Astyanax mexicanus: one gene and its partner. The protein of the gene in region 1 purifies or fractionates together with the protein of each later gene. This does not show direct contact. Links are inferred from orthologs where the notes say so. Each region holds a gene or a part of one and is shown on either strand. Other genes may lie near its edges.

Region 1 (7,183 bases):
TGTAAGCAAATCTGTCCTCAAAGCTAAATGTGGTACTTAGAAGAATCTACATTTTAAAACATATTCTGGTGTGTTTAACACTTTCTGTATACAAAAAAAAATCCCATGTGTGTTCCTGTAGAGCTTTAGTGCACACTTAAAAAAAAAAATCTTACAGTTCAATATTGCCATTATATTTAAAGTTAGTGATGAGTGTATTACCAAACAACACGTGCATTAGCCAATGATGTAAAACGCACAATAAACGTTAGACTTACTGTGTTGCAGACTGGACACAATAATTTGTAAGATAAAAACTTCCGTATACACAGCGAACAAACTGCAAAGAGACCCAACACAAACATCCATTATTTACTCATGTGTTTTGATGTTAATTAGCTACATATTTTGTGACAATAAGATAATATGAGGCGAATGAATGCAAAAGCACACATGACAGTGACAATGCTGAAGAGCTTATTAGGTACCGTAATAAAAAGTTTTTTTTTTTTTCCAAACATAGTTAACTGTTACTTCTCTTAATACAACATACATATTACCAAAAACAACAAAAAATACTTACAGTTATGTGAACACTGCGACATCATGGATATGTTCAAGAAGTCAAAGCAAATGGGACATCGAAGAAGGGTGTCTATAGGCTGTCAAAGCAAATAATGAAAACGAGTTAACGCTAGGTAGCTTACATATAATCACTGTAAGTCATTGAGCTAGGTAAATATAATTTATTTATAAAGCACTTTTATAAGACAGAGCCACATAGTGCCTTACAATAAAGCAATTTAAACCAAAAATAAAAAATTAAAATCTAATGAAATACAACACGTCCAAACAAAATAGTAAAGGTTGTGTTTAAAATCTCGTTATGTCCTATTTGTAGCGAGCTTGGAGTGGAGCGAGTCTGGGATGCCAAAACTCAATGCTGATAAAGAGAGGTGCCTACTTGATGACCCCTATAAAGGGCTTGTGGCATAGTGGATGATGAGTGTTTTTGTGATTTGTGATGGGATGGTTAGGTATTTCATGTTTGTGTCATATGTTGCTGATCAAATAATCAGCCACAGCAACCTAGCTGTTCGGTGTCTGGACTTCAGGTTTGGATTAAATGTTGCTGATCTGATTGTAAACGGCAACAGCAAACTAACGGTTAGGTGTCCGGTCTTCAGGTTTGGGTTAAATGTTGCTGATCTGATCATAAACGGCCACAGCAATCTAGCTGTTCGGTGTCTGATCTTCAGGTTTGGATTAAATGTTGCTGATCGGATCATAAACAGCCACAGTAACCTAAGTTAGCAGTTCGGTGTCTGATCTTCAGGTTTGGATTAAATGTTGCTGATCGAATCATAAACAGCCACAGTAACCTAGCTGTTACGTGTCAGATCTTCGTATTTGAGTAAAACGTTGCCAATCAAAGCCTAAACAGCCACATCAAGCTAGTTGTTCGGTGTCTTGTCTTCAGGTTTGGTTTAAATGTTGCTGATTGGATCATAAACTCAAAAATGACCACAGCAAACTAGCTGTTTGGTGTCTGTTCTTCAGGTTTGGGTTAAATGTTGCTGATCTAAACATAAATAGCCTCAGCAACCTGTTAGGGGTCTGGCCTTCAGGGTTGGAATAATTGTTGCTGATTGGTAGGGGTGTGCCATATCGTAGCGTGCGTGATAATTGCGCCAAAAATTTTGAATACCGTGAACGATATTATCCCCTGAAATATCGCGCCATATCACCCACCCCTAATTATCACATCAGAGAACTACTTTTTTTGTAGTTTTTAGCAAACGAAAAATTCACACTGTTCTCATTTCCCATTATATATCTACTAGAGACAGATTATATCTTTTCAGTATCATTTATCTTACTTTAATCCTGGATATATGGAGATATTAGGAGTGCATCACTAGTATCATGACATTCTGCATCATTGACTTCTGTTACAAATCTGATAAAATTCTTTTTTCTTTTTCTCAGTTAGCCATATCATATTGCATGCAAAAATAAAATTCTAAATAATTTTTCTAATTCAGTGTTTTGTCATATCGCCAAATGTATCGATATTGTGAAAATACCATGAAATATTGTGATATTATTTTAGAGCCATATCGCCCACCCCTACTGATTGGATCATAAACACATAAATGACCACATCAACCTTGTTGTTAAGTGAAGGAGGTTACCGTACTAGTGTCGTAGGTAATAGTGGGTTAGTGAAAAAAGTAGAGTATAGGGGAGAGTGTATGTATGCGTGTGTGTAACCCCATATGTAAATTGCAGGATTTATCATTTTTCTGCATTATGCTAATAGAGGAAATACAACACATCCAAACAGAATACTAAAGCCACCTTATTCGTGATCACACTCAAAAGCCAAATAATAAGAGTAGATTTTTAAACGTTTTTTGATTTAGTGAGTCTTTAGCGAGACGCAGTGTCAGTAAGCCTACGTAATTAGCTAACCTAGCTAACTAACTAATTAGCAGCTAAGTTAATGCCAAATGTCTCTTCAGAGCATCAGGCAAGTGACAGGTAACGCTAACCTTACGATAAACAAACGATACACACAGGAGCTAACAAAGGGCAGCGTAAGATCCGACCCAACTAACCTAGCTAGCTAACCAGATAAACCCCCAGCTTACTAGCTAGCTAACTAGTCTTCAATACTGGCAAAAGTATAAATCCCACTGGCCACTGGTCTTTATAGTTAATTCAGCTATGGTCACACAGATCACACAGCCTGAATTCAGCACTATATGTAGCTAAACTTACTGACAATCCCACTGTCAGTTTAACTTAGCTAACGTTAGCCAGCTAACCTAATGCGGGCTTCACAGCCAAAATAAGTGACTTATCAAAGCGTTTATTAGCAGAACTTACTTTCAGGCACGCCAGGTTCGGCGGTAAATCCGCCTCATTTGAGTTAGACATGATTAACCGAGCGAAAATGAATCAGTCGGTTTTTCTGAGCTCTTTCCTGAAGGTAAACACAGTCCTGCTGCTAACAGCTGAGCTGCACGGCCAGAGAAAAAACCCGCGCGCACTTTTACCGGCACATCCTACTCCGACGTCACTTCCATTCATGCTTTGAGGCAGAAGATTCAAACTCGGCTCTCGCATTGATTCAGTTCAGCGAACCGATTCATTTAACCATACGTCGGGTTCAACTTTGATTCATTAGAGTCGGTTCGGGCAGTGAGTCTGATATGGGCCAATTCTGCTGCACTGGCTCTAGTGTAAAGGAATTTTAGCTAGACAATAAATGCATAAAGCATACATATATAAACATATACAGCCTAGCAGTGATTGATTTGTACTTTGAAGCTTTTCAATTTGATTTGAATCCCACCACTTTTTTTTTTCTTTTTTTTTGTATTATTTTAGTAGGATTTAAAAAGACTACAGAAACGTGACAATCATTATATAAAATAATATTCTTTGCGTAATAAATTCTTACAGTTAAAAATAGCTTAAAATCGGACAAAACAAATAGAACTGTTGTGTTGAAGGTTCATAAATGGGCTTTAAAAATGTATTTCGTAGTTTTGTATGTTTAATGCAACAATGCAACCGCACTTACTTTTGTATTTGTCCCTCTGCAGCACTCGTAGCTCCAGTGGTGTATAGGTGCGTAAAATGCGGGAGGTAAGCAGAGCAGTGAAGCTTCCTGAATAAGCAGCGTTGTAAAAGGATTAATGTACTTTTTTGACAAGCTAATTGAAATAATTGTTTTCATATCAGTTTTAGTCACCCCTCTGTGTATTTTTAGCGGATATTGGTGCGTATAGAATTATTTCTGGCCCGGTTCGGTTTCCAGCGTTGGGCTGCAGCAGTTTTGGCGCCAATTGTAATCTTCAGGTTGTAGTGTGAGCCTGAAAATGTATCAATAATGTCCCATGTTTTCTTGTGTTTTTTACTCTTAGAGAAGCATATGCAGTTTCCTAAGCATAATAATCACCAAAGGGATTGTCTGTGTGTATGTGCAGGTATGTTGTAGTTGTGCTTATAATCTGTTTTACATCATTTTTAATCAGGAAATATATATCTTAGCTATTGTAAGTGTAAGAATTTATTTTATAAATTAACTAAAATAAAAAAGCAGCAACTAATTCAAATAATTAGTCTGTTTTTTTTTAGTTGCTACAGGACTGACAGCTGTTCTAACCAATCAAAGCTTTTTAAAATGGCTTAGCGAACTATCATGGAATTGCGGCTGCAAAGAGACAGATATTGTGTCACATCATATTAAAAAGCCTTGGTTGCCCTTCAATGTGAAACTAATTCACAATAATAGGCCAGACTGGTGAGTTTTTGTGTGTACCTAATGTTTTGGCTGCCCTGGCGTACTGTAGACATACAAATGAGTGATCTTTGTTGAACGGTTGTACTTGTAGGCAAATTAAGCATTTATTGTTGGGTCTGTTGTACACTTTTGTCAATTCTAGCTGTATTTGTGGGCTGATGATATGTATTAAGTTAATATAGCTAAGCCAAGAGAGAGAATATGAAGTTATTGTAATATTTATCTATGTGTCGGTCGGCCGGCGGCGGGGTGGAGGGTATGGGGAGTGGTTGCAGAAGGGGTACCCACTATATTCACTGCACGCCACTGATGTATGTATGTATGTATAAAATAATAACTTACTTATCAAGGTGTCTGAAATGAAAATAATTACTCTAGTAAAGTGTAGATAACCAAATTTCCAATGCAAGTTAGGTAACAAAGTATTTAATACTATTTGTTAATAAATGTTATTTTTTTTTATGCAGAAATTTGAGTGTATCCTCTCAGCTGTTCTAAAAACTACTAAAATACTGTCATTTGCACCACTAGCATGGAAAACCAAACATTCACTATACTGGTAAAAATGTGATATTTGTTAATGAGTTTATTTGTCCCCTTCACACCAACACAAGTTGGTTTGATTGTCCAAAGAAAGTTTGACATTGAGGTTGTGTGCCTTCAGGTCTGAACTGCAGCATTATTAAAGCATAATGGCACTGTTTTATAACTTATTCTAGCATTAATATGATGATATAATAATTATTTGGGTGGCCTATAAACCTCTACTTGACTCATTACATCAGAGACTGGACCTTGGCTGCTGTATACTTGTACTTCTGCTTGAATTGAACTGATTCAGAGGGATTTCTTAAGATTGCCTAGATATCTGTCTGTACAAACAGACCTTGCAGGCAAACTTTTAATAATAGCTATTCTTTAAAAGCACTGTAACACTCTCTATGCTGGTAAATATTAGTATACATTGTACACTGTGCAACACACAGGACACATCGCTTGAATAGTGATTCCAATTAAATGGGCTGGACTTTAAATTGTTTGGAGAAAAAAGGGGGTTTTAGACAGACTTTGAGTGGAAGAAATCAACCGAGGCATTGAAGAGAAATGATCCGTTAAACAATAGATACTGATTTTGCATGTAACGCATGGATAAAAGAGAGGAGGGTGAGCCAACCAAGATAATAACAGACCAGGAACTCGTGCAAAGACTTGTCAACACACTCAAAGAGAAGCAGAGCTTTTAGATACAGTTTAAATAAACAGGAAGTGTAATACAGAAAGAAGGCAATTTTATTGTCATGATCATCGATTTGTTTTGTTCTGAACAAGTGGAGACATCCAGTTTCTTGGTAGTCCTATTTTCCCAAGCAAAAGAGTATCTGTATTGTACTGAAAGGGTCTTTTTTTTCAGTTGTGACACTAGTGGAGCTGTTTTGGTGTTTAAAGGTGCCCTAGAATGGAAGACTGTGTACAGTATGCTATGCTATGCTAGGTAATGCAATGTTACATGGTTGCTGTAATCTATTGGAGTAATGTTAAACAGGCAATAAGAATAATCAAAAACTAGTTTTGTGTTTATATACCCATAGACCACTGAAGTTGTATCATTATTTTGTAGCCAGTGCCATGCTGCTAATGCCCATATTTGGCACTGCCTCAGATGTCCAGCCTCAGATTTCGATGGCCTATTATTATTTTTTTATATGAATTTTATATGAACATCACAGAATCCTTTTAATTCCAAAATTATTTAAGATTATTTAAGATGCTACTGTGAATTTACACTAATGAACCAGTGATCTCAAATGACTCTTAAATGTTCAGATTCAGAATGTGATTTTTTTAAACCCCCCTTCATTCCACCATTAACAATAGGAAACAATACACAAAGCAAATCACTGTTTCATTCTAAGACACAATAATGGGGTTGTAAAAAGGTTTGTAAAATCATATCTGAGCATCGCTTACCTTTACTAAATCAAATAAAAAAAAATCTTAAGTGTATTCTGTGGTCTATTTAATAGAAAGTGTATAGGATATTATTTATAATTAATCTACTAAAGGTTTTCATCATATTTATGAAGAACCATTTAACCAGCTAAAGAACCATTTTAGCTTCTATATTGAACCATTGCCTCACCTGAAATAAAGTGTACTTTAAAAGTGAACTTTTAAGTGTTTATGTACCATATTTGCTGCATGGACCCCAGCAAGCAGTGGCTCAATTTTTGTTTTGCTCTTTTACTTGCGGGATGAATGGGACAGTTGCTGTATTCATTATGAATGTGGAAATAGAATTTTCCATTCACAACTCTATAAGTCTCTCATAATGATCTTTTTTTTCAGTAGTCCTGCATTGATATGGTTATTTAAGCAGTTAAAAAGACTGTCTCTGCTATTGGAAGGATTATGTGGGCTAAACAGCTTCGGTGATTAAAACACAGCTCAGTGAATACGATTCAGTCTCACATTCCCCAATTCCCACACCGCCAACAAGGCAGAACGCGCGGCGTTCTTTCTTAAACATCCGTGAAATTGATTTAAAAATCCCTGCCTGCCTTTGAACGAACATACTCTGCTCCGTGCATGTGCTGATCTAAGAAACAAATATATATTTATATATCTGTGCTTCTGTGCACATTTACAGGAGGTGAGATTCGGGCTAAATATCACATAAAGAAATCAGTTCTGTTCATTTTGTTTTCCCGGTGAGACTGCAGTCAGCTGACAGCTGTGCATTTGAATGAGTGGACCTGACTACAGATCACTCTGTGTACATATAATCAGTCAGTGGAACAGACCTCCAGTCGAGTGTTTATTTTAATAGCCTTTAGCCACTGAACAAGGCAGGATGCATTTTAATACGGACAAGGTGATCAGTCAAAAACG
Region 2 (8,032 bases), on another chromosome or scaffold:
CATATTATAAGTAGAGCCGTAGAGCTCTTGAAGGACGTACCCAGATTGTGGAAAAATAAGGGTAAGCTAAAGGCCAAAAGAACATATGGCTTTCAAACATGAGGCCTGGGGTCATTTTCACCAACACTACAAATGGTGTCTCAACTGCTGAACAACACAGTGTAGATTAGCCTGAACATAAACATAAATGCTGGCCAAAACTAGTGTATGGATGTTTATGCATGTTTAAAACATGCATCATCAGACACTTAAAATTGCTAGTGCCCATTATAAAAGTGCTTAGAACACAGCAATTGCTGGTCTATGCTGAAATGGTTCTGCAGCATAACAATTAATAGTTTATGTTGGACTATTTTTATCATCATCATACACATACAAAACACAATGAATGCTGTTTTTTGAGGGACTAGTGCTAGTTAAGTGCTGTTTTACTAGTTCAATTGTACTAAAAATACAAAAAAAATGCTAATTTTTACTGGGTTAGTTATAGTGTAGTGCTTCTCTACCAACATTCCCATATTTACCATCAAACACATTTTTGAACCACAAGAATTACTGTTTATTCTGGACTAATGCTGGTTCACTGCAGCTGAACAAACATCTCTGTGCTTAAGACACAACAAATGCTTGTTTATGCTGGTGTAGTTATGCTTTAGTGCTTCTTTACCTGTGTACCCAGGTACAAAACACAGCAAATGCTGGTTTATGCTGGACTACTGCTGGTTCATTGCCGTTTTACCACCTACAGGTACTCAAAACACAAAAATTGATGGTTTATGCTGGTTTACCTGTGTGCCCATGTACAACACAAAACAAATGCTCGTTTATCCTGGACTAATGCTGGTTAATTGCTGTTTTATTAGCTTATGAGTACTAAAAACACAACAAATGCTGGTTTCGTGCTGGCTGATCTACCTAATACATGCTGGTTCCCACTGTCTTTTAGAACATCAAATTCTATAGCTAATGACCAGCACAATAGTGGTGCTGGTCAATCATCTGGTCATGCTAGGCCATGCAGACTATGTGCAGCAGAAGTGTGTATTTCTAGTAAAACGGATACTCACAGAACCTCCTATATAACTCCCATGTAGACACTTGATTCCTTGAAGGAGCTCTCGTTTCTTCTGGAGGTTCTTGATTCCAGACATTTGAAACACATACTTATTCCCCAACATGCTGGAGAGACAGGCAGAGTAGGTGACAGCAATATTCACATTGCTGCCGTCAGCCAATCATCTTTTTTCTCATTTAAAATGCATTCCTAATTTACATCATTTTCTACCCAAACTGAAAGGGCCAATTGAGAGAGAGAGAAAGCAGGGCCAATTGAGAGAGAGAGAGAGAGAGAGAGAGAGAGAGAAGGGCCAATTGAGAGAGAGAGAAAGCAGGGCCAAATGAGAGAGAGAGAGAGAGAGAGAGAGAGAGAGAGAGAGAAGGGCCAATTGAGAGAGAGAGAAAGCAGGGCCAAATGAGAGACAGAGAGCGAGCAGGGCCAAATGAGAGACAGAGAACGCAGGGCCAAATGAGAGAGAGAGAGAGAGAGAGAGAGAGAGAGAGAGAGCAGGACCAATTAAGAAAGAGAAAACAGGGACAATTGAGAGAGAAAGTATGGACAATTAAGAAAGAGAGAAAGTAGGACCAATTAAGAAAGAGAGAAAGTAGGACCAATTGAGAGAGCGAGCAGGGCCAGTTGAGAGAGCGCGAGCAGGGCCAGTTGAGAGAGCGCGAGCAGGGCCAGTTGAGAGAGCGCGAGCAGGGCCAGTTGAGAGAGAGCGAGCAGGGCCAGTTGAGAGAGAGCGAGCAGGGCCAGTTGAGAGAGAGCGAGCAGGGCCAGTTGAGAGAGAGCGAGCAGGGCCAGTTGAGAGAGAGAGAAAGCAGTGCCAATTAAGAGAGAGAGAGAGAGAGAGAAAAAAGCAGGGCCAATTGTGAGAGAGAGCAGGTCCAATTGAGGGAAATCAGGGCCAAATAGGGCCAACATTTTGCATGACAGTTACAAGACACATTAAATATATCTGTTGTATCGCTGTTATTGCTGTAATTATATAACAATAAAGCTACTTTGAATCTTATGTGTGGGAGACACAGAGATAGATAGAGACAGACAGTCAGAGAGAGAGACAGAGACAGAAAAGTAGAGGGAGAGACAGAGACATAGGTTAGTTATACATATAGACAGTTAAACTAGTTGGCTAGGTTAGGTAGGTAGGTAGTTAGCTAACGTGTGTGTCTTTTTCAGCTTATTTTATTTAAATATTCAGCTGCAGCGGTCTTACCTTGTATTATTGTGCAAATACGATAGCCGTTATAATATAAGAGCTGCTGAAATCACTAGCTAAGCTAAGCTAAGCTAACCATACTGACTAACTTAGCTTTAACTGACTTTAACTGACTAGTGTCACTATTAGCTAAGTGAACCCAGCGTTAGCGGTAGCGTTAGCCATTTTCGAAGCCGCGCCAAAACTCCTGCCAAAAAAGCAGAGCTTCTCGGGAAACTAGCGCTATTAAACTTCCATAAGCCGTCCCATCTTCAGCCAGTGCGCCGTCCAACACGCTTTACTAGTTACATATAATATTCCACAACGTATCACATGAAGACAACTAACCAGATTAAAAATATGGTTATAAAACACATTCAGAGTGTGCTTGTTTTGCGTCCATGTCAACTGACGTGTGGGTTTGGGCTGTATTACCGTGTGCGCTGCTGCGAAATACGGGGGTGAGCTTTAAGAAGCGAAAATATGAATAACTACCCTAAAACGTGAGTTAATGAACATTTAAGTGGTTTAAACTAAATTAAAGATCAAATAAAAAAAACATACAGTTGAAATAATCAACGTAAACGCAGATAATAACGTGTAGGAACACGAAAAGTCTCCCCCGCCTTCATGTGTGAATGGTTTGCTCCGCTCCGTGTACAGGATGTTTGGAAGCGGAGCTGCACGCGCTGGTTGTTAGAGACGCTTTGGTTGATAAGGTGCTGGGTTTTGCAGAAATATACTCTGAACCGGGGTTTTAGGAAGGGATTTTACCTTTTTTGTCGTGTAAAAACTTCTGTTATCTCAGCATGCACCAGATTAAAGCCTGTTTTCCTCGTTTTTGCTCTGTATGCTAGCTAGACAACACCATGCTACCGTTAACTGCTTAATTCCCTTCATAGCTAGCTAGCTAATCAAACACCACACATTTAGCTAATTATCTAGTTATCTACAGGTGTGTGTGAGTCAGCTGGCAGCTAGATAGTTAACGTTAACTAGTTAATTAATCCCCCTCATTGGATACTAAGCATTTTTTCTTTCTATGTGACTCCAGTCCCTTCTTTAGGTTTAATCACTGTTTGATTAAATGACTGGAAGAGAATATAGAGATTATTTTTTCATTATATTTTTAAGGTTTTAAACACAGTCAGAGACTATCATCACGAGCTTCTTAGCTAACTAACTAACTTACTCAGTAACCTGGACGTATTAGGAATAAACACATCTATTAGTGATATTAAACAATAAGAACAATGAGGATAATGATTATATTCCCTGGTTCCATGGATTTGGAGTGCCACTGACTGCATGTTCTACACAATAAGGTAACTAGCTACAGTAATAAAACTGTGTAATGTGGGTCTGTTAATGTATTATAAAATGTTTATAGAGGTTTTTTTTTTAATCTCAGTTAACTTGTTGATATTCTCTTTTGTATTATTACAAAGGCAAAAAACACAGCTGTTACTTTTGTTAGTAAAAACTTACATGATCAGTGCAAATATTGCAAAATTTTATATATATATATATATATATATATATATGTATATATATATATATATATATATATATATATATATATATATATATATATATACACACACACACATACATCACATTCATCATCAAAGTACTTTGGAGAAAGAACAGGAGTGTCCAAACTTTTTTTGTTGAGGTCCAGAAGGAGAAATATATTTGAAGTCATGGGCCACACTCTGTAATTAAACAAATAATAAAAAATACCACTTTAAATAATACTTTTTTCCTGATTATTTCATTTACACACCATTTTACTTGACTTACTATCTTTATCTTTGACAGTGTTGTGTAAACTAAGATTTTTCAAATTGATGTTTCATTTCATGATGTCTCTTAATATTAAACTCCTTAATTACGGCAACTTTTAGACTCTTTGGCCCGTTTTTCTGCGCTAGAAATGCACACCCTCTCCGCTTTTAGACTCTTTGGCCCGTTTTTCTGCGCTAGAAATGCACACCCTCTCCGCTTTTAGACTCTTTGGCCCGTTTTTCTGCGCTAGAAATGCGCACTCTCTCCGCTTTTAGACTCTTTGGCCCGTTTTTCTGCGCTAGAAATGCGCACCCTCTCCGTTTTTAGATTCTTTTGCCCAGTTTTTCTACGCTAGAAATGCGCACTCTCTCCGCTTTTAGACTCTTTGGCCCGTTTTTCTGCGCTAGAAATGCGCACCCTCTCCGCTTTTAGACTCTTTGGCCCGTTTCTGACACCTAGCGTTCAAACTTTGAATCTCACATTATAAAAACCTGCTTAACAGCGGGCCAACTTTCATTCTATTTCTAAAATACCTCGCGGGCCGCTCCAAAAAAGGAAACAGGCCGCAAATGGCCCGCGGGCTGTAGTTTGGACACCCCTGACTTAGAACTATACATACAATTCAATTTAATTTTTCAAGTGGCAGACTTAAAAGCTCTGTGTAATGAACATCAGTCAGTAACATATGCTGTAAGTACTTTGAATCTCTTACAACGTTAGACCAATTAAGACCCATTGCCTAAAATGACAAACAATGTATACAGGCCATACATAGACACACAGGTCAGAGGATATTTTCAAAAGATTCAAGACTATGCAAATATTAATAGAATATTTTAACATATTTTGATCTAAATGTTAGATAGTAAAGCCAAATAAAATAAAATATTGGATGTTCTTAGTATGGTTTAATATAATTTGCTACGAGACTATTATTATGAAGCCCAAAATGGCGGATTAGCCATAGCGTCTAATGGATAACTGGCGACTCTAATGGTTATCGAGCTGAATGTTTGGTAACAGATGGATGAAACTGTTCTGGTTAGATTAGTAGGTTCTGTGGTTTGATAGAATATGTGGGTATAGTTATAGTTCACACCGGTCTTTAGATATTGACCGAAATCTGTAGTAGGTGTTGGCCTATATGTTAGCCCTAATACTGTTTTCCGATTATTAATGGCTGATTTTTGATATCAGACTGATGTTAACTACTGTGCTGGTTAGATATGGTATGCTCTGCTGTTTGATGTGGGTGCATTCCTGTAATAACTACTAATTAATCAGCAACTGGAGCCACTTTTTATTGGTTTACTGAAATCCACACAAAGTTAGATATTTACATACTAATGATATATCTACTGGATCATAATATTTTTTAATGTTCTTTCCAATGTACTTTCACATGCTCATGTTTTAAATAATTGTAAATGTACAAAAGTAACCTGAAAAAGGGTGTATTTTCGAAGGGTGTTCATGTTGTTTTCCACAAGATCCACGTGAATATAAATTACAAGGTCTGAAGTTGTTAATACGAGCTTCTGAGGTGGATCTGAAGGCAGTATTAGTTCATAACTCCTGAAGTGGTGGAAAGTATGAGATGATGGTCGTGTTTAATTTAGCATGTTTCCTTAAAAGTGAACACTTGCTCTGTTAGGGCATTTAGTTTTAAGTGAGGATTTCGGTGGCGTTTTTAAAAACGCCGGAGGAGGCACTGCCTGCTAAATATTTCACACCTTCTCCAGGCTAAGTGGGCTAATGTGTGTGTGTGTGTGTGTGGATGGGTAGAAGCATGCTTGTTTCAGTTTAAGTGCTGGGAGAATACATCTGGCCCATGTCTCTCTCTCTCTCTCTCTCTCTCTCTCTCTCTCACACACACACACACACACACACACACACACACACACACACACACTGAACTTCAGCTCAGTCTTTCTCTCTCTCCTGTGGCACCTCTCAGAAGTACTGGGAGACTCCACAACATCTGAGTTGAAAATAGCTAACAAGACAAAGAAGATGGAGCGAGCATCTGCCTAATTAGGCCCTGTGTGGTGACAGGCTGAACCTGACACTTTTCCCACAACTCTCATGTGGATCACACACCGGCAACGATGCACATCCCTTTGTAACACAGGCTGCACTCACACACACACTCGTACACACTCTCACACACACACACTCACACACACACTCACAATGACTCACTCAGTCCCAGTGTAATTACACTGTAGAGTTCCTAGTCCTAGCCCCGTAAAAAGCTTCCCAAAGTGTTTCTCTCTCTCTCTCTCTCTCTCTCTCTCTCTCTCTCTCTCTCTCTCTCTATCTCTCCCTCTCTCCCTCTCTGTACAGACTCTGGGATGCTCATATAGAGTTTAGAAAATAATAAAAGCGTGAGCTTAACTGCAGAATCTGTCAGCTGAGGGAAATAATATTTGTCCAGCCGGACAGCCCTTCTCTCTCATTGTGCGGGTTAAATTAATGTTGAGATCTGTGTGTGTGTGTGTGTGTGTGTGTGTGTGTCAGGGAGGTAGCGTAGGCTGTTTGGAGTTTGACAGGGATTATTAAAATCAGCCCACATGAAGGAGAAACAGTGGCAGCAAAGCCAAATTGACACTGACACTCTCCATTATACTCCATTTGACTCATGATGACACCCTCAGATATACTGTATATCTCTCGCTCGCGGTCTCTCTCTATCTCTCTCTCTCTCTCTCTCTCACACACTCTGTCTGTCTGCTGTCTGTCTCTCTTTTTCTCACTGTTTCTTTTTTAAGCTGTCTCTCTGTCTATGTTCTATCTTATATGCACAATTCTGCATACTTTTCTCTTACTTTTCTCTCTCCTTTTCTTTCTCCTTCTATCTCTACTGCTTTCTCCCCTTCTATGTCTTTCTTCTTTCTTTCTTTCTTTCTTTCTTTCTTTCTCCCTCCTTTCCTGTTCTGTTTCTCTCTCACCCTTCTTGACATTCTCTATTTACTTCATGCTTTTTTCTTATTTACCATTTTTCTGTCTCCTCATTTTATTTCTCCCTCTTTTCTCTTTGTCCTCTTGTTTCTCTGTCTCTAACTCATTCTCTAGCTCTCTTTATTTTCATTTATGTAGCTCCCTGTCTTTTTTTCTCTTTCTCGCATCCTTTTTCTCTGTCTCGTAAGCTCCCTTTCTTTCCTTCCAAAGTTCTGTCTTCTCTTCCTCCTCAGCAGTCTGTTGTTTTCCCCCACTTTTTTTACACACTCTTTACAAATTCTTTCCTTCTTTAATTTTTTCCTCCTTTCTCTCTTCTTTTTCCTGTAATTTTTAAAAATATATATTTATATCTTTAATCCTCTCATTTTCACCTCATGTTTCTCTCTCTTACTTTATATCTCTTTCTACCTGTTTGTCTGTCTCTTTCCCCCTTCTCACAGTTTCTCTGTTTGATGTTTCTTCCTCTCTCTCTCTCTCTCTCTCTCTCTTTCTCTCTTTCTCTCTCTCTGTGTGTTGGGTGCAGGTGTTGAACATGCAGGGTCTTGTACTGGTGGGGGGTGTAAATAGATTGTTTGTATAAAGTACAGATGAGCAGCGTGTTGGCGGCTGATTCTCTGTGAATGGAGCTCTGTGTTTTAGATATGCATTTATTACTGCTGGGCTCCACTGGAAATTGAAAGCATTCATTCTTGGCAGGGAGAGAGAGGGAGGGAGGGAGAGAGAGATTGATAGATAACAGAAGGGTCGAGGCGTCTTATAGGAGATGATATCCAGCGGCTCGGTTCAGGTGGGCTTGATGTACTGCTCCTGATAAGGATCTTGTTGGAGGAGAAATCAAATCATCACATCTCATGAGCCGCTGCGTTGCGCTCGAGGATGTGTTTCATCAACAGGGAGGCTCTGCTGGAATGGATGTCATTCAGACGAGTACTGTACATAAGCAGACATCTATTACAGTCTGGAGGAGTTCTGTACTCCGCTGCTCTCCACGAGCTGGGCCTGCGTCACACGTGAAATTCAGCTGT

The links. The genes of interacting proteins can lie anywhere in the genome.
Region 2: the proteins of rad18 (region 1) and slf1 purify together in Homo sapiens (affinity purification with mass spectrometry; 4 studies listed by BioGRID and IntAct, with this or other methods). This does not show direct contact. The link is inferred for Astyanax mexicanus from reciprocal best matches to the Homo sapiens genes RAD18 and SLF1.

The regions. Positions count from the first base shown.
Region 1 is NC_064412.1:15,609,128-15,616,310, forward strand, and holds the start of rad18 (E3 ubiquitin-protein ligase RAD18), read right to left. Parts: upstream 3,053-7,183; 5' UTR 2,923-3,052; coding exon 2,872-2,922; intron 642-2,871; coding exon 563-641; intron 320-562; coding exon 258-319; intron 1-257. UniProt on the Homo sapiens protein: E3 ubiquitin-protein ligase involved in postreplication repair of UV-damaged DNA. Postreplication repair functions in gap-filling of a daughter strand on replication of damaged DNA.
Region 2 is NC_064429.1:25,828,570-25,836,601, forward strand, and holds the start of slf1 (SMC5-SMC6 complex localization factor protein 1), read right to left. Parts: upstream 3,097-8,032; 5' UTR 3,033-3,096; exon of another isoform or gene 2,769-3,032; intron 2,692-2,768; exon of another isoform or gene 2,277-2,691; intron 1,180-2,276; 5' UTR 1,179-1,179; coding exon 1,068-1,178; intron 743-1,067; exon of another isoform or gene 668-742; intron 1-667. UniProt on the Homo sapiens protein: Plays a role in the DNA damage response (DDR) pathway by regulating postreplication repair of UV-damaged DNA and genomic stability maintenance.